3 linked regions of the Oryctolagus cuniculus genome follow. The protein of the gene in region 1 interacts with the protein of each later gene in a pairwise test. Links are inferred from orthologs where the notes say so. Each region holds a gene or a part of one and is shown on either strand. Other genes may lie near its edges. The genes, in order: DRAP1, POLE3 and NFYB.

What was found.
Region 2: the proteins of DRAP1 (region 1) and POLE3 interact in binary tests that used the Homo sapiens proteins (3 or more experiments, as listed by UniProt). The two-hybrid records come from large-scale screens. The link is inferred for Oryctolagus cuniculus from reciprocal best matches to the Homo sapiens genes DRAP1 and POLE3.
Region 3: the proteins of DRAP1 (region 1) and NFYB interact in binary tests that used the Homo sapiens proteins (3 or more experiments, as listed by UniProt). The two-hybrid records come from large-scale screens. The link is inferred for Oryctolagus cuniculus from reciprocal best matches to the Homo sapiens genes DRAP1 and NFYB.

The regions. Positions count from the first base shown.
Region 1 is NC_091432.1:5,853,072-5,861,042, reverse strand, and holds DRAP1 (dr1-associated corepressor), read left to right. Parts: upstream 1-3,672; 5' UTR 3,673-3,885; coding exon 3,886-3,927; intron 3,928-4,112; coding exon 4,113-4,185; intron 4,186-4,268; coding exon 4,269-4,362; intron 4,363-4,452; coding exon 4,453-4,572; intron 4,573-4,663; coding exon 4,664-4,757; intron 4,758-5,135; coding exon 5,136-5,224; intron 5,225-5,466; coding exon 5,467-5,581; 3' UTR 5,582-5,691; downstream 5,692-7,971. Other genes in the region: C1H11orf68 (UPF0696 protein C11orf68 homolog), read right to left, coding at 2,088-2,844, 3,378-3,490. UniProt on the Homo sapiens protein: The association of the DR1/DRAP1 heterodimer with TBP results in a functional repression of both activated and basal transcription of class II genes.
Region 2 is NC_091432.1:216,996,653-217,005,019, reverse strand, and holds POLE3 (DNA polymerase epsilon subunit 3), read left to right. Parts: upstream 1-3,647; 5' UTR 3,648-3,722; coding exon 3,723-3,788; intron 3,789-3,888; coding exon 3,889-3,974; intron 3,975-4,277; coding exon 4,278-4,396; intron 4,397-4,991; coding exon 4,992-5,164; 3' UTR 5,165-5,195; exon of another isoform or gene 5,196-5,650; 3' UTR 5,651-6,399; downstream 6,400-8,367. Other genes in the region: C1H9orf43 (uncharacterized protein C9orf43 homolog), read right to left, coding at 168-318, 426-625, 2,229-2,311. UniProt on the Homo sapiens protein: Accessory component of the DNA polymerase epsilon complex. Participates in DNA repair and in chromosomal DNA replication.
Region 3 is NC_091442.1:106,943,878-106,948,147, reverse strand, and holds the end of NFYB (nuclear transcription factor Y subunit beta), read left to right. Parts: intron 1-33; coding exon 34-231; intron 232-924; coding exon 925-1,006; intron 1,007-1,713; coding exon 1,714-1,793; intron 1,794-2,127; coding exon 2,128-2,160; 3' UTR 2,161-3,770; downstream 3,771-4,270. UniProt on the Homo sapiens protein: Component of the sequence-specific heterotrimeric transcription factor (NF-Y) which specifically recognizes a 5'-CCAAT-3' box motif found in the promoters of its target genes.

The sequences.
Region 1 (7,971 bases):
AGCCAGCCAGAGTCGGGCGTGCCAAGTCGGGGCTACAGCAAGAGCCAAGGCACAGTGACAAAGTGACAAAGACCAGGATGCGCAGGAAAACCACAGGCAGCTTGTGATTCTGGAACAAGGGTGAGCGGCCAGCGGGCAGCGAGGCAGGCGGGGCAGGCGGGGGCCGGGCCCGAGCTGTCAGTAGTTTCATCCGTTCTCTGGACAGGTTTTGGAGAGGCTGCGCTGGCCCCGCACTCCACTAGGCTCTGGGGATGGGGCTGAGGCTGACACACAGCCCCTGGCCATGTGGCTTCGGGGCCAGCAGGGACTGGCCCTCACTCGAGCGGTTCCGAGGAGCCCAGTCCTGAGTGACACTGCCTGGCAGGTGTCCAAGCACAAGGCGCAGGGCTGCATGCCTGGGGCTGTGCCGAGTGCCAGCTGGCTTCAGTGCAGTGGGCGCAGGCACAAACGGGCGCCCAAGGGAGACTGGGGGCCTGCCACGGAGGGCCCAGGAGAGTGGGCTTTGTCCTGCAGGCTGCAGGGAGCCGTGGGGGCCGGTGGGAGACTGTTGTGGGGGTCTGGAGATGCAGAGGCGTGGGCTCAGGCAGGGGACAGCGTGTGACCGGCTCATCATGGAAGCAGTGCTTTGTGGGCTGGGATCGCAGTCCGGTCAAGTGCAAGGCCCCCACGGCCCGAGGGAGGCAGGACGTCAAGCTGGCTCTAGGGACTTCCCAAGATCGGGTTGAGGGGGACTTGGCCTGGGGACAGAGTGGGTAGGAAGCTGGGGAGGGGGCTGAGCCAGGATCGCATGACTCAGCCACTTCCATCCAGTCAGCCCAGTGGCATCTCCGCGCCTCTGCTCCAAATTCCAGCTTGCTGAGGCGGCGGGAGGCTGAGTCAGCTCTGGCACAGTGTCCCAAGGGGCTCCTGGCCCCCGCCGAGGCGGGGCTGCAGCGTGGAGAGTGCTCCCAGCTCGTCGCAGCTCAGCAGGCAGGGCTAGGCGGGCCACGGGAGCGGATGCACGGTGGCTGAGGGGCTCACCTCGTGGGGGCACTCAGCGGGGTCAGGGCCTCGCTCTCGCTCTGCCGGACACAAGTCCCAGCGCCGAAGAGGCGTTCCCCTCCTGGCTCAGCTCCCCTGACCACAAGAGAGTCCACATCTCCCCGCGAGGGGCCGGAATCGCTCTGCGGCGGCCCGGGCTCCCACATCGCTGGCTGCCCAGGTGCCCAGTGTAGGCGCTGGAACCCAGCCCACGCCCTGCTCCGGCCAGGACTGCCACCACCAGGTGCCACACACAACAGCAGCCGGGGCTGGGCGAGGCTGCTCAGACCTGCCGGAAGCACGGCGCGCTGGCTTACTGGAAGCCACCGAGGGACTGGTTCTGCGGTTCTGCTCCGCTGGGGCTCCCGGGGGAGCCAGGGCCCGGCACCAAGGCCTACCGCGTCAACGGGGTGCAGGAGGGGGCGGGCGGGAAGGCGGCCAGCTGGGTATGTGCGGGTGGGGGGTGTGTGTGTCCTGGCCCCGCCGCTCCCAGCAACCACAGCAGGTAACCACCCAGGTTTTGGAAAAACACTCAGGACACAGACCCAGGCTGGGTTTTATTGAGATGCCAGGAGCAGGCACGTGTCTGGTAGCTGGGAAGAGAGGGAGGTGGCAGAGGGGGCGGGCCGTGTCCGTGGTGCACATCCCCTCTCTGCCCGGGGATGTGGGCGCAAGGACCCTCCTGGCTAAATGGCACGCTCACGCCTGCGGGCCCTGGCCCCCGCACTAGAGGCTCCACGGGGCGGGACTGGAAGCACTGTGTTCCCCGTGAGAGGGGGGAAGGAGAGCTGGCGAGTGCAGGCGGAGGGGAGGTGCGGCGGGGCTCTCTTCTTGGGTGTCTGCACCCACCCCGTGGCCCTGGGCTGCAGGGCGGAGCTGCGAGGAAGAGGGAGGCCCAGGCCCGCCCCCTGGGGGCCGGCGGCAGCCAGGGCACAAGTCCAAGGGGACCGGAGATGCAGGCGGTTGTTGGGCGACCTTGTCCTCAGAGCTGGGGGCGTGGCTTTCTCGGGACAAGGAGGACGAGGCCGGGCCGCCCGGGCGGGGGAGGCCAGGGCGTGGTCACCCCGCTAGGTCAGCTCCACGTTGTTGGCGCGGTCCAGCACGCGGGAGCCGCGGGCCCCGCCCCCGAGCTGGAAGCGGCTCTCGTAGAGCGTGGGGCACAGGTGCCAGCGGTTGGCGCGGTAGATGCCCAGGTAGGTGTACACATCGGGCTTGTAGGTGAGCAGGCACTTGATGCCCGCCGCGCGGATGGCCGAATCCGCCTCCAGGACGCCCAAGCGGTCCGTGAAGTCGTCCGTGTAGACGCAGATCACCTGGCGCCCCCCCTCCTTGGCGCGCGGGCTCACCTTCGCCACCTGCAGCCGGCCCTCCACGACGGCCCGGGCGACGCCGGCCCAGGCGTGGTCCAGCTTGAAGCCAGGGCTCAGGTGCATCAGCCACTTCCCCGACAGCACGCGGTGGGCGATGGCGAGCTGGCGCAGGGTGCCCGGCGTGACAGGCCGGCCGCTGCTCTGCAGAGCCTCCCAGGCCGCCTGCAGCCCCTGCACGTCGCCGGAGTTGGGGGTGTAGCCCTGCCCGTACACGGCGATCCAGCCCACGGGCTCGGCGTTGGGCGACCCGGGGTCCCCGTAGCGGGTGACTTGCGACGGCGGGTACTTGGCCAGCCAGGCATCCAGCTCGGCCGCAGGCGCGGTGCGGGCATCGAACACCAGCCAGGGGTCCATGTCGGCGGCCATGGCCTCAGCAGCCAGGTGCTCCGCGGTGAAGCCGTCCTCCCGGCCGCCGGGAGAGTCCTCCTCCTCCAGCTCCTCACCTGGCTCCATCCTGCCGGGAGGGAACCCCGTCAGAGCAGCGCCGCGCTAAACCGTGTGGCCGGCCTCGGTTGCCTCGTCTCTACAATGGGACAGCTGCTGGCTCTGCTGGGACAATCAGATGCCCCAGGTGGAGAACGCCTACCTGAGCCTCGGTGCCGGGGGCGCTACTACTCCCCTTGGCGCTCCCGCAGCACACCGGTTGCAGGGCAAGGGGCAGGGCCCACGCAGGAACGCAGGTGCGGGAGCTCCGGCCTCAGCTACCCCCGGCCAGCGGGGCCGGGCGTGGAGGGAGAGGCAGGGAAGAGGAGGTTCACGCAGCCCCCGCGGCGGGCCCTGGAAGGCCGGGCCTCCCTGGGGGCGTTACCGGGCCCACTTCGAGGCGAGGACCTCGAGGCCCCCAGACGGCAGTGACCGGTCGGAGACGAACGGGGCAGTGCTAGGACTCGAACCCGGGCCTGTCCGGCCAGCCGGAGGGGCCGACGCGCCCACCGCCCGAGTCGGGGCTCTGCCCCGGGCCCGCCCCGCTCGCCGCCCCGCAGTCACCTCCGGCCTTCGCTGCGTTCCGCGCCGGCCCAGCTCCGGGTCCGGTTCCGCTCCTGCCGGGGCTCCGCGCCGCCGCCGCGCCCCGCCCCCGCCACGGCCGCCGCCGCCGCCATCTTAGCGCCCCGCCGTCTCAACAACAACTTTATAGACAAGCGCGGCCACAGGGGCGGGGCCGCCGCGCCGCATCCGCCGCGCTGCGGGGCGGGGCCGGCGCTGCGGGGGCGGGGCCGACCCCGGGGCGGGGCGGGCCTGCGGGGGCGGGGCTAACGTTCGCAGCTGGGGCCTTGGGGCGGGCGGGAGCGGCGGAGACGGGAGACGCCTGGGAGACGCCAGGGGGGCGGGCGCTTGGGCGCAGCGAGCGGCGTTGAGCGGGCGGCGCTAGGACCCTGCCGGGGAGCGGCGGCGCCAGGACCCGGGGGAACCGCGGCGGGCCGGCGGCGAGCAGGCCCGGGCGCCCGGAGGCTGCGGGCGGCGGCGCGGGGCCCGGCGCGGCGAGAGAGGCCCGGAGATGCCGAGCAAGAAGAAGAAGTACAACGCGCGGTTCCCGCCGGTGAGCACGTGGCGGGGCCCGGCGCGGCGGAGGCTCAGGGTCCGGGCCCCGCCGCGGGGGTGTGGGGGGCGGGCGCATCGCGGTGCTCGTGGTGGTGGTGGGGGCTTGGCGCCCCGCCCCCTTTCTCCCGGGACCCCCACCCGCCGCAGCGGGCGGAGGGGGTCCGAGCGCTGTCCGCCCCGCAGGCGCGCATCAAGAAGATCATGCAGACGGACGAGGAGATCGGGAAGGTGGCGGCGGCCGTGCCGGTCATCATCTGTATCCTTGGGGGCGCCGGGCGGGGGGCGTGTGCGGGCGGGGGGCGGCCGCCCGGCGCCCGCGTGCTCCTTGACGCCCCCCAGCCCGGGCGCTCGAGCTGTTCCTCGAGTCGCTGTTGAAGAAAGCGTGCCAGGTGACCCAGTCCCGCAACGCCAAGACCATGACCACGTCGCACCTGTGCGTGGCCCCGGCGCCGGGGGAGGGCGGCGGGCGGCTGCGGGGGGCGGCCCGGCCGCGGCGTCACCCCCGGTCCGCCGCCTCCCGCAGGAAGCAGTGCATCGAGCAGGAGCAACAGTTTGACTTCCTCAAGGACCTGGTGGCGTCGGTCCCCGACATGCAGGGCGACGGGGACGACAACCACATGGATGCGGACAAGGCGCCTCGCAGGTGCGGGCCGGGGCCGCGGGGGCGGGCGGCGGCGGGCGGCGGCGGGCGGCGGCGGGGGACCTCTGGGCACACGGACCGTGCCTCCCCCAAGGGGCCGGAAGCCGGGCAGCGGCGGCCGCAAGAACGGAGGCGTGGGGAGCAAAGGCAAAGACAAGAAGCTGTCGGGCACAGACTCGGAGCAGGAGGTGAGCGCGGGCCCCGGCCTCTGCCCTGCCCTGGTCCCGTCCTTCCCCGCGGCCACTCCCGGGCCTCAGCTCCCCAGTGACTGCGGCCACTCCCGGGTCTCAGCTCCCCAGTGACCCGGGTCTCAGCTCCCCAGTGACCACGGCCATTCCCGGGTCTCAGCTCCCCAGTGACCGCGGCCACTCCGGGTCTCAGCTCCCCAGTGACCCGGGTCTCAGCTCCCCAGTGACCACGGCCATTCCCGGGTCTCAGCTCCCCAGTGACCACGGCCATTCCCGGGTCTCAGCTCCCCAGTGACCCGCGGCCACTCCCGGGGTCACAGCTCCCCAGTGACCCATGGCCCGTCCATGCCTTTGCTGGTCACCCCCTAACCCCCGCAGGATGAATCTGAGGACACAGATACTGACGGGGAAGAGGAGACCCCGCTGCCCCCTCCCCAGGCCAGCCACCCCCCTGCCCACTTCCAGAGGTAAGCAGCCCGGGGCACCGGAGGAGGCGCGCGGGTCCCCTGGGCTGGCTGTGGCGAATGTGGGGGGTGGGAGCACAGTGACCGTGGGCTTCAAGGCCAGGGACCCCAAGCTGACCAGGGGTGGTGGGCGGAGCCTGGGCAGCTCTGGGCCCGCCCCTTTCCCTGGGGCTTGGCCGCCATTGGTGCAGGGGGTGGTGGGCAGGGGCCTGAGCCGGGCTTGTCTACCCCGCTTCCTCCCGCAGCCCCCCAGCTCCCTTCACGCCCTTCGCCTCGGCTCTGCGCTTGCCGGCTGTGCCCGCAGTGCCCCCTGGCCCCTCGGCGCCTGGCGCGGAAGATGAAGAGGACTACGACTCCTAGCGCCCTCTGCCCCAGGCCGGCCTCCCCTTTTACTTGGTTTTAGTTGCTTTGGGGGGAGGGACAAGGTGGAGCTGTTCTTAAATTTATTAAAAAAAAAAATAACAAAAGGACTGTCTGTGTCGGTGGCAGCCTCTGTCTGGGGCTCGTGGCTGTCTGCCCGCCCGCCCCCACCTCTCTTCCCCTGGGCTGTGGCGGGGGCAGCAGCGGGCCAGGCAGTGAGTGGCAGAGGTCCAGTCTGGGGAGCTGGAGGGAGGCCGCCCGGCGAGGTCTGGGGCCTCTCGTGCTGTGTGGCCCTGGGCGTGCTTCTGCCCTCTCTGGGCTGCCGTGTAGGACCCAGCACAAGGGAGGGGAGGTGTGCGAGGCGGTGGAGGGCCTGGAAGGCAGCTCCTGGGTGGGACGGTGACGTCCTCTGTCCGTCCACGGGTATGTCTGAGCAGGCAGGGAGCTGTGGTGCCCACAGGGCCGGCGTGGAGGCTGTGGGGAGTGGCAGGTAGGAGTGGCTCGCCCAGGCCTCCTGGAGCATTTTTGTCCTAAAAGGCTGGAGCCGCCAGGCTGTGGGTCCGTCTGGTCTGGACAGGATCACCGCCTTCCAGGGAGGCGTTTGGAGCCTGGGGAGAACGATGGCGGCTTGACCGCGGGAGGGGCTGTGTTCAGGACACCCCCCGTCCCTTCGCAGTGGCTCTGCTGCCGCCAGCGGCCTCGCCCTGCTCGATGGGCTGTGGGGGTGCGGAGGGCGGGTGTGTGAGTCCGGGGCAGGTGACCGAAGGAGACAGAGCGGCCAGGCCAGGCCAGGCCACCCGGTTGTGCCGGGAAGGAGAGGCCAGCTGTCAGATGCTTGGACGCCAACAAGGAGGTGGTGGCTGGGAGCAGAGGTGCTCCGTGCTCCAGGCCTGGGCTCGTGGACGGGGCAGGCGGAAGCTCCCAGGTGAACAGAAGCAGCACGGGTGTTTGTTTTTAAAGACTTGTTTGTTTGAAAGGCAGAGTTACAGAGAGGGAAAGACAGAGAAGGGTCTGCCATCTGCTGGTTCACTCCCGAATAGCCCAGGACTGGGCCAGGCTGCAGCAGGAGCCAGGAGCTCCACCTGGACCAAGCGCCCGGGCCATCCTCCATTGCTTTCCCAGGTGCGTTAGCGGGGAGCTGGATCAGAAGTGGAGCGGCCGGGGCAGGAGCTACAGCTGGTGTTACAGGGGCAGCCTAACCCCCTGCGCCACGGCGCTGGCCTGCAGGGTTTTGTTTTTTAAGACAACAGAAATGCAGGCTTCTAGAGAGAGAGAGAGGGCCGGAGGGAGTGGAGTGGGTCATGAGGAAGGAGAGACAGGGAGTGGCTTCCGTAGGAGGCGGAGGTGATGAGTTATCTGGGGTGACGCTGAGGGCCGGGGGAGCAGATGGTCTAAGGCAGCGGGAGGGTGGACGGTGAGCGGTGGAGCGGCCGGCGGTGGCACTTGCTGGTGTCCCTGTGTCCTTCCCAGGCGCCCTCTTGCCTCCTCCCCCAGCCTGCAGCGTGTACAGCTGCCCCCACTCCAGGTCCTCAGCCTGGCCAATCATAGCATCCCTGCCGCGGGGATCTTGCCTGGGGGGCCTTGGGCGGGGCCCTCGGGGAAGGGTGGTGGTTGTTTTTTTTGTTTAAGGATTATTTGGTTCACTCCCCAGATGGCCACAGTGGCTGGGGGTGGGCCAGGAACTCCATCCGGGTTCTCCATGTGAATCCAGGGGCCCAAGCCCTTGAGCCACCCTCTGCTGCTTTCCCAGGCGTGTTAACAGGGACTTGGAGCGTTCTGATGGGGCGCACCCATGTCACAGGTGGCGGCTTAACCCACTGTGCCACACCGGCCCCTGGGGAAGGGTTTTGACAAGACCCCTGGCAAGGATGAGTGGCGGCCAGTCCGGCACAACATGGGCCAGAAGCTGCTGGAAGCCGCCCACCGGCCCAAGGGGGCGATCCTACCTGCAGACGAAGCCAGCTCAGGGCGCAGAGACGAGGCATTAGTACCTGCATCCAGTGTGGGCCGTGCGCGCACCCTGGGCTTCTTAGCCCCCTGAGCCGTTGGGTGTCTGTCGCTCTTAAGGGAAAGAGGCCCCGTGAACCCCAGGACCCCCCCCCCCCAGCCCTGGGAGCAGAGTTCTTTAGCACCAGGGGGTGGAGGGGTCCTTGTGTCTCCAGGGAGGAAATCTTGCCTAGTGTGCATGAGGTCAGGGTTGGGAGAGGAGACCCCGGGCGGGGAGGGGGCCTGTTGCTGGGCCGCGCAGTGGGGACTTGCACCAGGCGGGTCTCAGGTGGTGGGGGAAGGCCAGGGGCTGGCATCAGGCAAAGGCCCAGGGAGAAGAAACAGTGGCTGCGGGGAGCAGCTGGCCTTAGACAGAGTGTGTCAGACTGGAACGGCTAGAACTA
Region 2 (8,367 bases), about 210 Mb from region 1:
GGCCTGGAAGAGGGGCAACCGGGACAGAATCCGGTGCCCCGACCGGGACTAGAACCCGGTGTGCCGGCGCCGCTAGGCGGAGGATTAGCCTAGTGAGCCGCGGCGCCGGCCAACCCAGAATTTTCTGAGACAATGGGATGTTAACAGAAGATTCCGTGATACATCACCTGTCTTGAAATTTTGAGTCAAATTTTGATTCCCGAGACAATAAGGCATGAGCCTTGCTGACGGCAGATGCTGATAATGGACGACGAGCAAGTCTCTTGGCCCGGAAGCAGGAGTCTGAGATGTTTACCACCGTGAGCATGGGGAGTTTATCTGAGAAAGCAGACCAGAAGGAAACATGTAACATGCTGCCTAGAGAAAGGAAGCCGAGCATACACAGCTTAAGGACCTTGTGAGGAAGAGTCTAGATGCTAAGTTACCTTCAGGATCCACAGAGGTTTGGCATGGTGAGCCCAGGATCCGAGGATGGCCCCTCTCAATCCGGCGGAAAGATGCCCAGCATTGCGGATGCTGACAGAGAGCTAAGTTGCAGGTGGTTTCATCCCACTGGGTCTCATCTGGCAAGTCCATAGCTGTAAAAGGTTTAGGACAACGGCCAGCCCTGCAGTGTTCTACCCCTCTGGGAAATCAACAAATAATAATTAGGGAATATTACACATAAACCATGCAGTATTTGGACTCAATGCACAAAATATTTCTACTGAACTTTCATTGGTAAATGGTCATTGGATAAGTAAAGGTTGGGAAATAAACAGGCATGAAAACATCTCAGAGCGACATAAGAGTTTGGGGACGGAGTTCAGAAGGTCTCCTCCTAATTGGTCATTCATTTAATATCTGAGTGGTCTGGGACTTTAATCTGAGCCTCAGTTTCCTCGTATGTAAAATGGGGATAAGCCTATTAAACAGACATTACCAAATTAGTTAATAAATATTAAAGGCTTGACATATAGGCTAAAATAAGCATTAGCATCATTTCCAGTTCTCCTTAGTCAATGATCAGGGAGAAGGTGCCATTATCTCCAAAAGCCTTAAATTAAAACCAATGTAGTCATACAATCACTTTAGATGACTCAAACCTTGGGAAGGCAGGCTTCCTTTTCCAGTATGAGGGTACTTCAAAATGTTCATGAAAAATGGCATTAAAAGAGACGTTCTTTAGTGCAAAATCATTTTGAAATCCATGCAGAGATTCTTCAAAGTTTTTATGAAAAATGAGAACTATGAAAAAACTACACATGGGTTTGAAAATATTTTGCTCCAAAATAAACCTATCTTTTAATTCCACATTTCTGCAGACTTACCCCCATGCTGATTCCCATGCAGGCAAAATCCCAGCAATGCATGGGTTTGAACACTCAAATAGCAAATCAGTAGACTTGTAGTTGCTTCGGAGGTCATTACTTTTTCATTTACTGGCTGTAAGCATAAGGTCTTAGGCAAGTGACTTCATCTTAGCCTGTTTCCTCACGTAACGTGTGTGGTTGGGGCAGGCGGCTGGCTGTGTGTGTGTGTGTGTGTGTGTGTGCGTGTGAACCCCTAAGCAGAACTGTGGAATCGTTAAATAAGATAATACACTTGAATTGCTGGTATTATGGGTGCTCAGAATCTTCTTCCCTCTGCAGACGTTTCAGGCAATCACTACCACTCCATCCCTAATGCTTTTTAAGGACAGTGTCCACTTCTTCTTTCTTTTATCCAACATGTTTATTGACTACCAAAGATATGAGAGGGCTCGTTTGGGGCACGGAGAACACTGATAAGCAAACCATGTTCTGAACACCTTGTCAGATCAAAGACAGCGAACTATTGGCCTTGGATTGTACCCAACCTGACCTGCTTAGTTTGGCAGGCACTTTGAGCCTACCAAAAATCGAAATAGTCCCTAATATCCAGATTTCTGGCTCCTCTTACAGATCAAAACATCTGACAACACTGGGCCCAATTCCAACTACACAGCAATTGGCTGAAGCGTTCCAGCTCCTGGCATCTCTACGCCCAGTCTGCCCTAGCCAAGTACAGTAGGACCCCCACGAGGTCCTGGTCTCTAGCTCAAGTTTGGTTGCCTTTTACCATGGCATGTGCTCTGCTGTTTTTCTAATAGGGAAGTATCTCGCTCTAATCATGTATCCATCAAAAGCAAGAAAAATTTGAGACAGCATGTTTCAAGGGGAAAAAAACAACTGGATTAGTTCTCAGTGGCAGTAAGAATTTCCACATACCTAATGTGAAAGGAATACAACTTGAAGTGCCACTGCAGGAGCCGCAGTGTCGTGGGGAAAGCCGCCACCTGCAGTGCCAGCATCCCATATGGGTACCGGTTCCAGTGCCGGCTGCTCCACTTCTGATCCCGCTCCCTGCTAATGTACCTGGGACAGCAGCTGAGGATGGCTCAAATGCTCGGGCCCCTGCACCCACGTAGGGGCTCCTGGCTTCATCCTGGCCCAGCTGGGCACAGCCATTTGAGGAGTGAATCAGCAGATGGGAGATCTCCTTCGCTTTCTCTTTTATATATATATATATATATGCACATATATATATATCAAATATCTAAATCTTAAGTAGTTGGGTCCTGGCCATCCACGTGGGAGACCTGGATTGAGTTCTAGGCTCCTGGCTTCCACCTGGCTCACCACCCATTGGCCAGCATCTGGGGACTGAACCTGATGTAAGATTCCTCTCTCTCTTCCCAAATAAAAAAGATTTGTTAATTACAGAAGAGGAAGAGGAAGAAGAAGAAACCCTTGGGTATGATTTTGCCTGGGAAAGGTGTACGACACACAATGTAATGAACTAAAACTAAACGCAATTTTAACAAGGCTGTTTTAAATGGGACGATGCAGTATTTTAAAAGCGGCTGCTCCCGCCCTTTCCTGCCCAGCCCGAAATGAACCTCTAAGTCTGGTCAGGCGCATCCCGCTGTGAACAAGAGCTCAAGGGAAAAAAAAGGTAACTCCCCAAAAAAGCCTAGCTAACACCTATCCTTGGTAAGGATTAGCACAGCGCCGTGAGGGGCGGAAAGATGGATGGACATCGGCAAGCGCTGGGCTGAAGAAAGATTCCCCGCTGCGTTCTGGAACAGGAAAAACACTGTGGCTGTCGGGAGGGAGCGGTTCCGCCTCGCAGGGTCCCGGCTCCTCGGGACCACGGCAAAGATGAAACCCCGAGGGTTCCCGAAATCCAGGGGCCCAACGCAGCCCCGCCCGGCGAGGAGCTCGGCGGTAATGGCTCACCAGGCCCCGCCTCTCGTCCGGAGGGGCCCCACCCAGCCGCCTCGGCTCCACGCCTCCGTCTCCCACGCGAGGCGCGAGGCCGCTCCGTCGCCAAGCAACGGCGCAGAGCACGATGGGGCTCGGACGGAAGCCTCCGTGGGCCATACTTAGTTCGAGGCGAAAGCTCTGGACGTAGCGGGAGCGTGAAGCAGAGACACTCTTCTGAGGAAGAACGTGCGGCGTACGGTGGGCGCTGACCGAAAGATCCAGCGAGCCAAAACCGCTACGAGCGCAAAAAGTTCGGGTGCAAAGCGTCTTGAGGTGGAGAGGCGGGGCTGGCGTAGGAGGAAGGCTGGGGGCGCGGGGCACTGTGGGACACGGTGCGGCCTACGTGAGGCGGAACGGAAGCCTCGGAGGGTCAGACAGCAGCGGCGCGGGAAGTCCGGACGCTGGAGGTACCTGGGGAGGAGGCCCTAGGCTCAGACTCAGGCCTCGACCGCGGCCATGGCAGAGAGGCCCGAGGACTTAAACCTGCCCAACGCCGTAATCACCAGGATCATCAAGGAGGCGGTGAGCAGCTCGGGCTGGCGATGGGCCGGGGGCGGACGAGCGGGCAGAAGGGAAGCAGGTCCTGGGCCGGCGGCTTTGCTCACTCCCGCCGTCATCACAGCTCCCGGAAGGTGTCAACATCTCCAAGGAGGCCCGGAGCGCCATCTCACGCGCCGCCAGCGTCTTCGTGCTGTACGCCACATCGTGGTGAGCAGGACAGAGCGAGCCGGCGTCCGGCTGGGTCTAAGGCCTGGAGGGTGGGGGGGAGGCACCGGGAACCGCTGCTGGCAGTTGTGGTCTGGGACCCATGTAAACCCCCCTCCCGGGTCTTCCCGGGTCTGTTCGAACAGCAGACTTAGGTACGGGCAAGGGCAGGGTTTACGCAGGTTACGCAAACATCTGTACGGCCAAGATGTGCCTGGGTTCTCCCTTCCCACCCCTGGGTGCCCCTTTTCGCGTCCTAAAGAGGGAAGGGGGCAGCCGTTTAGAGCCCTTTTTGCTTTGTTTCAGTGCCAACAACTTCGCGATGAAAGGGAAACGCAAGACCCTGAATGCCAGCGACGTGCTGTCCGCCATGGAGGAGATGGAGTTCCAGAGGTTCGTCGCCCCGCTGAAGGAGGCCCTGGAAGGTAACGACCCCCGCGTGGCTTCTCTTCTTCTTCACTTTATTTGGAAGGCAGAGAGAGAGAGATCGTTAAACACAGCGAGATCTTCCGCCCTCCGGTTCACTCCCCAAATGCCCAGGTTAGCTATGGCCGGGCCGGGCCGGGCCGGACCCCTGCCCTTCCTCTGGGTCTTCCACGTGGGGAGCAGGGCCCCAAGTATTTGCGCCATCCAAGGTGTTCCGGCAGGAGGCTGGCTCTAAAGTGGCGGAGCCAGGACTCAAACCAGGCACTCCCGTACAGGTATGGGATGCGTGCGTTCCGAGCTGCGCCTTAATCCCTGCCCCCAGTGCCTGCCCGTACCCTTCTGTTTCCCAAACCACATGGAAGACGGGTGACCTGTTGATGTGGCCCTGGGACTGTGAAAGAGTGGCCCAGAAAGCCAGTACCGGATGTGACCGGACGTAGTTCAGTGGCACCACCCGAGACCTCTCGGTGCTGCTCGCCAGGTCCTTTTCTGCTCGTGTCCCTTGGTTTTTCCAGCTGTCCAGTGATGCTGCCGGCTGCGGTCCCCGCTTGTCTCCCCCAGCCCTGTCTCCTAACCCCGCCCCTCTTCCTGCAGCCTATAGGCGGGAGCAGAGGGGCAAGAAGGAAGCTTCGGAACAGAAGAAGAAAGACAAAGACAAAAAGGCGGATTCGGAAGAGCCGGACAAGAGCAGGGACGAGGACAACGATGAAGATGAGGAGAGGCTGGAGGAAGAAGAGCAGAATGAAGAGGAGGAGATTGACAACTGAGTGCTGCGGGAGTCTGGACCTCGGGAGGCAGGTGGGCGGCGGGAGGCAGGCGGGCGGTGGCCGTGGGCTCCGTGTTTGTGCGCTGCTTTGCCCCGGGCTGGAGTGCTGGAGCAGATGCAGGCCGCCAGCCGAACCGGCGCTCCCGACGCCGCGCAGCCGCCTGGCACAGCCCTGTGCCGCTTCCTTGAGCGGGCGGTCGTCACTGAACAGCTCGCTCCGTTAGTCAGTGTGATCTCTCGTGTTGGCTTACATGTATGGCTGGGTAGGTTTTGACCCCCAGTCCTCCTACCCCTGAAGAGAGTCGTAATTCCCCTGCTGCCTGCTGTGTTCCAAGTCTCAGAGGCCATGAGGCTCCAGAAAGCTGGGCTTCCTTGCACACGATGTGGCCGTGGAAACCCGTGAAGTGGTCAGGCGGTTGGCTTTAGGACACTGCTAAGAGAACTGGAGGATTAAAGAAATCTGTTCTGTTGTCTCTCCCCTTGGCAGGAACATCCGTGGGAGTGGATTCTGTTAGACCCGCTCACCCTGGAGCTCATCTGTGTGCCTTAGGCAGCCTGCCTGGGGCGGGCCGGGCCGGGCGCCGCGCTCTGAGCTCACGCGCTCCGGATTGAACAGTGGAGACCACAGGCAGGCAGGCAGGGACGCCGGGGTCTTACGGAGCAGGCGCCTCACTGCCTTCGCCATGTGCACTTGAGAACCTGCTGGAGGCCAAGCCCGCCTCCCGGGCTGGGGCCTGAGCGTCCTCCTTCAGTTCACGGAGAGTTCCAGACCGTCTCCCCTCTAGGCACAGCTCTCCCTCCGCTCCTGTGGCTCTTCTCATTTCCACTTTCTCTCTCAGTCCTGCCAGTCTGGGAACTTTGACAGTCTGCTTAGTATTCCAAAGTGCAAGTCCTTCTGCTTTCTTAGTTCTAATCTCTCGGCTTTTAAAAAGAATGTCATACAAACCCTTTAGGGCAGTCAGATGGCGCTCAGGAATGTAATGGCTGGCCCACCAGCCGTGCCCCCGAGCTGCTTCTAAAGCACCCCTGTTGGCCTCTCTGAGCCTTTCTCTCTTTTGGGTCAGTGCTACAAGCACTGTTCTGTTTGCAGGTTGAGCGCTTGGGTTTGACAGGTAGGGAAGTGTAGTCTGACACTGTCAACTTGTTAAATGAACACAGGGAGGCGTTCAATGAGTGATGGCTGTTGAGAAGATTGTAATGCTTTGTACGAATAAAGAACGTTCTTGTTAGAAGAGATGACGCCTGCGTGTTCCCCGTGTGCTTTTGGAGAGGAGCCACTGATCAAGTCCCCATACAGTGTCTGGGGTGTGATCCCCGGGCCAGATCTTGGAAACACGGGAGCCTGCATCACCGCTGGCGGCCAGCAGATGCCGCTCGCTCACAGGCAAGGGTGCTGCTGCTCAGCTGGCGCGAGCCTGATCATGGCTGGCACCTTAGAAAGCCAGCGACGCCACTTCCTGAGCTCCCACTGCGTCTGGCGCTGTTCCGAATGCCTGCCAAAACTACCTCTTAGACCCTGGGAAGCAGCCCTGCTGTCACCCTCATTACCTTTTAACCACACTGCTCCTAACCGCACTCTAACCTACGCAGTCTTTTCAAATCATAAAAAGTTCATGCATATCGGGGCTGGCATTGTAGCTTCGTGGGTAGAGCCACCACCTGCCTTGCCAGCATCCCATGTGGGCCCTGGTTTGAGACACAGCTGCTCCACTTCCGATCCAGCTCCCTGCTAATGGCCTAGGAAGGCAGCAGTAGATGGCACAGGTGCTTGGGCCCCTGCCACCAATGTGGGAGGCCTGGAAGAAGCTCCTGGCTCCTGGCTTTGGCTTGGCCCAGCCCTGGCTGTTGCAGCCATGTAGGGTGTGAGCCAGAGGTTGCAAGATCACTCTCTGTCCCTAACTCTTTCAAATAAATATTTTTTTGAAGAACTGTATGCAGGTTTTCACGGTCAGTTGATCCAATGGGTTTTTCCCTGTCCACAGCAGAAACATCCTTTCATAATTCCCATGAGCACCGCTGTAGGCTAAGCCAAGTCCCATCTGGACTCCTGTGGCTTCCTTTGAGCTGAGTTTCCTGCCTCATCTCTGCTTCCCCTCTGTACTAGCCAAGTGAACCTTCTGGAACATGGCTGCGTTACAGTCCTCCCCCCAACCCTGCTTCCTGTCAAACAAACCAGTTACACAAGCCCTGCGTAAGGACAGCTCGTTCCATCTATTCTGCTACTCCATCATAAGACTGCACCTGTCAGGAGTGAATCCCAAAAGAACTGCATTATAACTCCATCCATCCTGCCCCTCCTCACCAATCTTACACCAAAAAAAAAAATTTTTTTCCTTAGAAATATTTGGCTTAAAACTACAGGTTTTTGGTTTTTTGTTTTTAGATTGATTGATTTATGTGAGAGGCAGAGTTGCAGAGAGCCAGGTCTTGTATCTGCTGGTTCACTCCCCAGACCTCTCACTGACGGGTGAAAGGCTCTTTGGAGCGAGGGGACCTGCCCAAGATCGCACCAATGTACAAGAATGGGGATCCTGTTGGGGTCCCGGTGGCCTTCAGCTGTGCTTCTGTTTTATTTTAACAAACAAACTTTGGAACAGTCTTACAGAAAAGTTTCACAGAATTGCAGGAATCTCATACTCTTCACTCAACTTTCCCTGTGTTCACGTACTGCATAAACCATGGTGCCTTTGTCAAAACTAAGAAACGTGTAATATAGACGGAAAGCGGGAGCTGGGGGTGTGTCTTTCATCCTGTGATTCACTCCCCAAATGGCCACAATGGCAGGAGCTGGGCCAGTCTGAAGCCAGGAGCTTCTTCCGAGTCTCCCATGTGGTTGCAGGGCTCAGACACTTGGGCCATCTTCCCATCTTTCCCAGGCCACAAGCAGAGAGCTAGACTTGAGCAGTGCCCATATGGGATACCAGAACACAGGCGGAGGCTTAATCTATACTATAGCACTGGCCTTGCACCTGTTTTACTACTAACAAACTTTCTATAAAAATGTCCGAACAAAAATTGGAAGTGAGCTCACTTTTTAAGCCTAAGATGAAGAACAGGCACATGTAGCAACAAGTTATATAGCTGCTTGGGGCATATGGGGAGTGAACCAGCAGACAGAAAGATCTTTCTCTGCGTCACTCTGCCTTTTGAAATAAATATTTTTAAAAAATAAAGTTATGATGAAATTCATGGAACAAAAACCAT
Region 3 (4,270 bases), on another chromosome or scaffold:
TACAGATTTTCTTATGTTTTTTTTTCTCTTCAGATTGCAAAAGATGCCAAAGAATGTGTTCAAGAATGTGTGAGTGAGTTCATTAGCTTTATAACATCTGAAGCAAGTGAAAGGTGCCATCAAGAAAAACGGAAGACAATCAATGGAGAAGACATTCTCTTTGCCATGTCCACCTTGGGCTTTGACAGTTATGTGGAACCTCTGAAATTGTACCTTCAGAAATTCAGAGAGGTAAGTAAGATGTCCTTTGTTGGCTTTGAACAATACAAGATTCATTATTTATTTAAACTTTTAAAATGTATTACTCTGGGCCTGGCACTGTGGCATGTGATGCCAGCCACCCATGTGGACACCAGTTTGAGCTCTGGCTGTTCCACTTCCGATCCAGCTCCCTGCTGGTGTGCCCCAGCGGGCAGCAGAGGATGGCCCAAGTGTTTGGGCCCCTGTACCCACATGGGGAATCCTCTGGCCTCGGATTGGCTCAGCTCCATCCATTGCAGCTATTTGGGGAGTGAACCAGTTGATGGAATATCACCGTCTCTCTCTAGCTCTCCCTTGTAACTCTGCTTTTCAAATAAATAAATAAATCTTTAAATAAAAATAAGTAAATAAATAAAATATATTATTCTGTATTCCTTTAATGTGGTTTGGAATTAGAATAATTTATTTTTATCCATAAATCCTTAAGGTTTTCTAGGTCATTACTGACACTGTGTTATAATGATTACTGCTAATATAAAAGGTATTTTAAGGGCTTCCTCATGTAATTACCTGGAAGTGGTAATAAATACTGTTTAGTGTTTGTAATAATAGAAGCTCCTAATTTTAGGCAGTAAATAAGCAGTCTCATTTTGGAAACTTTGATTTGACTACCAGTGACTACCTTTTAAATTTTTGTTTTTGTTTTTCATTTTCCTTCCCCAGGCTATGAAAGGAGAGAAAGGAATTGGTGGAGCAGTCACAGCTACAGATGGACTAAGTGAAGAGCTTACAGAGGAGGCATTCAGTAAGCAGTGTTATGATACAAGTCTTGCAGATTGTCAGCAGTGATTCATACGAAATGTTGGAGGTGTTATTTTTGGACTAGCTGCACTGAGTATTTTGACATTGTACTATTTTGAATACTTATTAGTTCATACTCATGTATTTGAAATCAGTAGATAATAAGTGTAGAAAATTTTAATTCTACACACATTATAATCTTTTACTGATTTTCCATAGCTCCTAGTTTTTGGTTAAAAGTCATGTGAAATAGAAATAATGAGAATCATAGTTTGTTATACAAAATCTTGTGGTTTAAATAAGTTTGAGCTAAGGCCTCTTATTTAAAAATTGGCTATCATTGTCATTGGTGAAATGAAAGGTATGTGGTAAACATATTTCTCATAAGTCACATATGTATGTATGTGTTTAAGTCAGCGCCCAGCTCACCCTCACTGTGTGGTGTAGGCCTCACATGAATCAGACACTCCTTCCCATGTTTCTGAGATTGGTACAATGGGCGAGGATTCAGAAAATTGAAAAATACAATAGAAAAAAATGTGCTTTAGCATATTAGGGAACATTTTAGAATGGAAAAATGTTAGGTTTATGATTTTACCCACATTAAATAAGAGGCCAGATTGCAAGGAGACATCAATGGCATAACCTTAAGGTTCAGTCTGAGAAAGTAGATGGGATTTTTTTTCCTCTAACTTTTTTTTTTTGTCTTAGCTAACCAATTACCAGCTGGCTTAATAACTGCAGATGGTCAACAACAAAATGTTATGGTTTATACAACATCATATCAACAGGTACAGTACCTTCTTTGTATTTAAGTTACTTTAAAAGTTGATTATATTTATTTTTAACACAGGTAATTTTAATATATTAGTAATGAAATAAAAGTTACTAAAAATTTTGTTTTCTCAAAGTATACAAAATTAGCTATAATATTCTATAACTGGTTAAAAATACATATAGACATGTTTATATTTACATAGACAATTTGTAGGAAAATACCAGAAATGATTAAAATAGAAGGAAGCAGATTTTTCATTATCTGTTGTTTTTAGTCACTGTTTATGATATGCATGTTACTTATAAACTATTTTTTTCCTAATTCTACTCAAATTTTTGTAATCTTAGATTTCTGGTGTTCAACAAATTCAGTTTTCATGATCTGAAGAAATTATGGGATGGAAGTGTAGAGAAGCAAGAGTCTGTGATTCTGGAACAGAGACATCAGAAGAAAATGACTGGTGAAAAAATGTCTCTTTGTACATTAAATAGCTGTAATGTAGCTTCCTGATGCTTGACTAATTGAGGTGTTAATTCTGACTTGAGAATCTTTTTCATGAATGATTTTAAAGAAAAATTTGGATTTTAAAGGTATTAAAATATTTTTGTTTTGTACGAGAGTTTGTTGCTCTGTATGACTCCTGTATGCATTGTATATTGCAATTTATTACTGTCAGAGATTTGTAGACAGTTTCTTATTTTCATATTGAATCATGTTACTTTTGTAATTCAAATAAGCAGCTGGGTTAATTCATGATGTTTGCCCTTTTAATAAAATATAAGGGTAGAGTTCATTTGAATGCAAGTTGCCTTTATTATAAATTTGAGTTTGTCTTGGCTATATATACTATCTTGCATGGTAACCTAGCTAGATTTTTACATTTGCCATATTTTATTAAAATTGATTTTTTTGGTAAAACATTCAAAGCAGCACCATTTTAAAAAATATAACTGAGTAATTGTGAATGCAGAAGAAATTATTGTCTGCCCTGTTAAACTTGGTGCCCATTAACAGTGTTTACACTGTTCATTGTGCCTGTTAATGTAGTTTTACTTATTAGAGCTTTCATTAAGACTAGATTTATTTTTGAGTTACATTATTATGAGTGTTAGAATTCATTTAAGTTTAACATAGTTCTAGAGCCCTTAAAATGGTGCCCCTTTTATTTGATATGATTTTTTTCAAAGCATATCTTCAAGTATTATAGTGTCCTCTTCCAGAAGGGGAATTTTATAGTCTGATGGTAAATGTCCTCATCTTACCTTTTTTTATTGAAATGTCAAGTTTCCTATTACACTATAGGAACCAAGAAATATTGGCTGTCATTATGTGTACAGACCTTTTGCACGGTGAGTGAATGAGAATGAGAACAGAGTGAGTGCTATGAGCAGTGTGAAATAGAAGCCATGACTTCTAGTGTGCTGTCTTGATCTTTGCAATAAACTAAACTTAGATAATGTAACTTTGTATAATTTAGTAGTATGTACTTGAGTTGTTCCTTTTTTAAAGTAAGGATTTGTATTTTCTCATTTATTCTTTTTGGTGATAATTAACTTGAAGTAGATTTTTTTTATTTTAATATCACAAATTGCTGTTGTATATTTTGCCTAAAAGGCAGTCTGAGTGAATGCCGTCTGTGATGAAGGACATTCAGATGTATAAGGCAGAGGCAGTCTCCCACTGACTGCCAGGAGCCTGTAAGGGCACATTTTGGCTACTCTAGGTAATAATTCCCTTCCTCCTACCCCCTTGTTTAAAAATAATCTTCATGATAGAAACTTCAAATAGGAAAAAAAGGGATGGTAGTTACGCAGAATCAACTAGCCTCCTACTATGTTGAAATAACCAATGTTAATATTTTGATAAATATCATTTGTCCTTTTACTTTGCAAAATATGTATATTTTTATAAAAATGGGTTCATTGTGCATACTGTTTTGTAACCTGCTTTTTTCACTTAACAATATATTGTGAATGTCTTTGCCAGGTTATGCAGTCTTCTGCATCATTTTTATTGGTTTATTATTCTATTGTATGAATGAATCATAATTTATTTACTCCTCCACTGGACATTTTGACTATTTACATCTTTTCAGTTATAAACAGCAGTTCACTGAATCATGTGTATATCCATGACTGTTTTCTTAAAATGAATTCTCAGAATTGTTGGCTTACCAGACATGCATAATTTTAAGGCTTTTGATACTTACAAATGGATGTATTTTAAAAATGTCTTCCATTTGATTCAGGCAGTATATCACTATATAACTGATAAAAGCACTTGGTCTTTGGTTATCAGATTCATTCTCTAAAATTACTCTAAAGATTGGAATAAGTTTGAGTAAAGAATCAAGATAAGAAAGGAATTTCACAGCTTAAAATTGGTATATTCCAAAACAAACTTCCAAACTTTAGGTACAGTCATGTCAACGCTGAGTTATGTGGCCTTCATACACAAGAAAGGAAATCAACATTCTGCATGTTTCAGGCA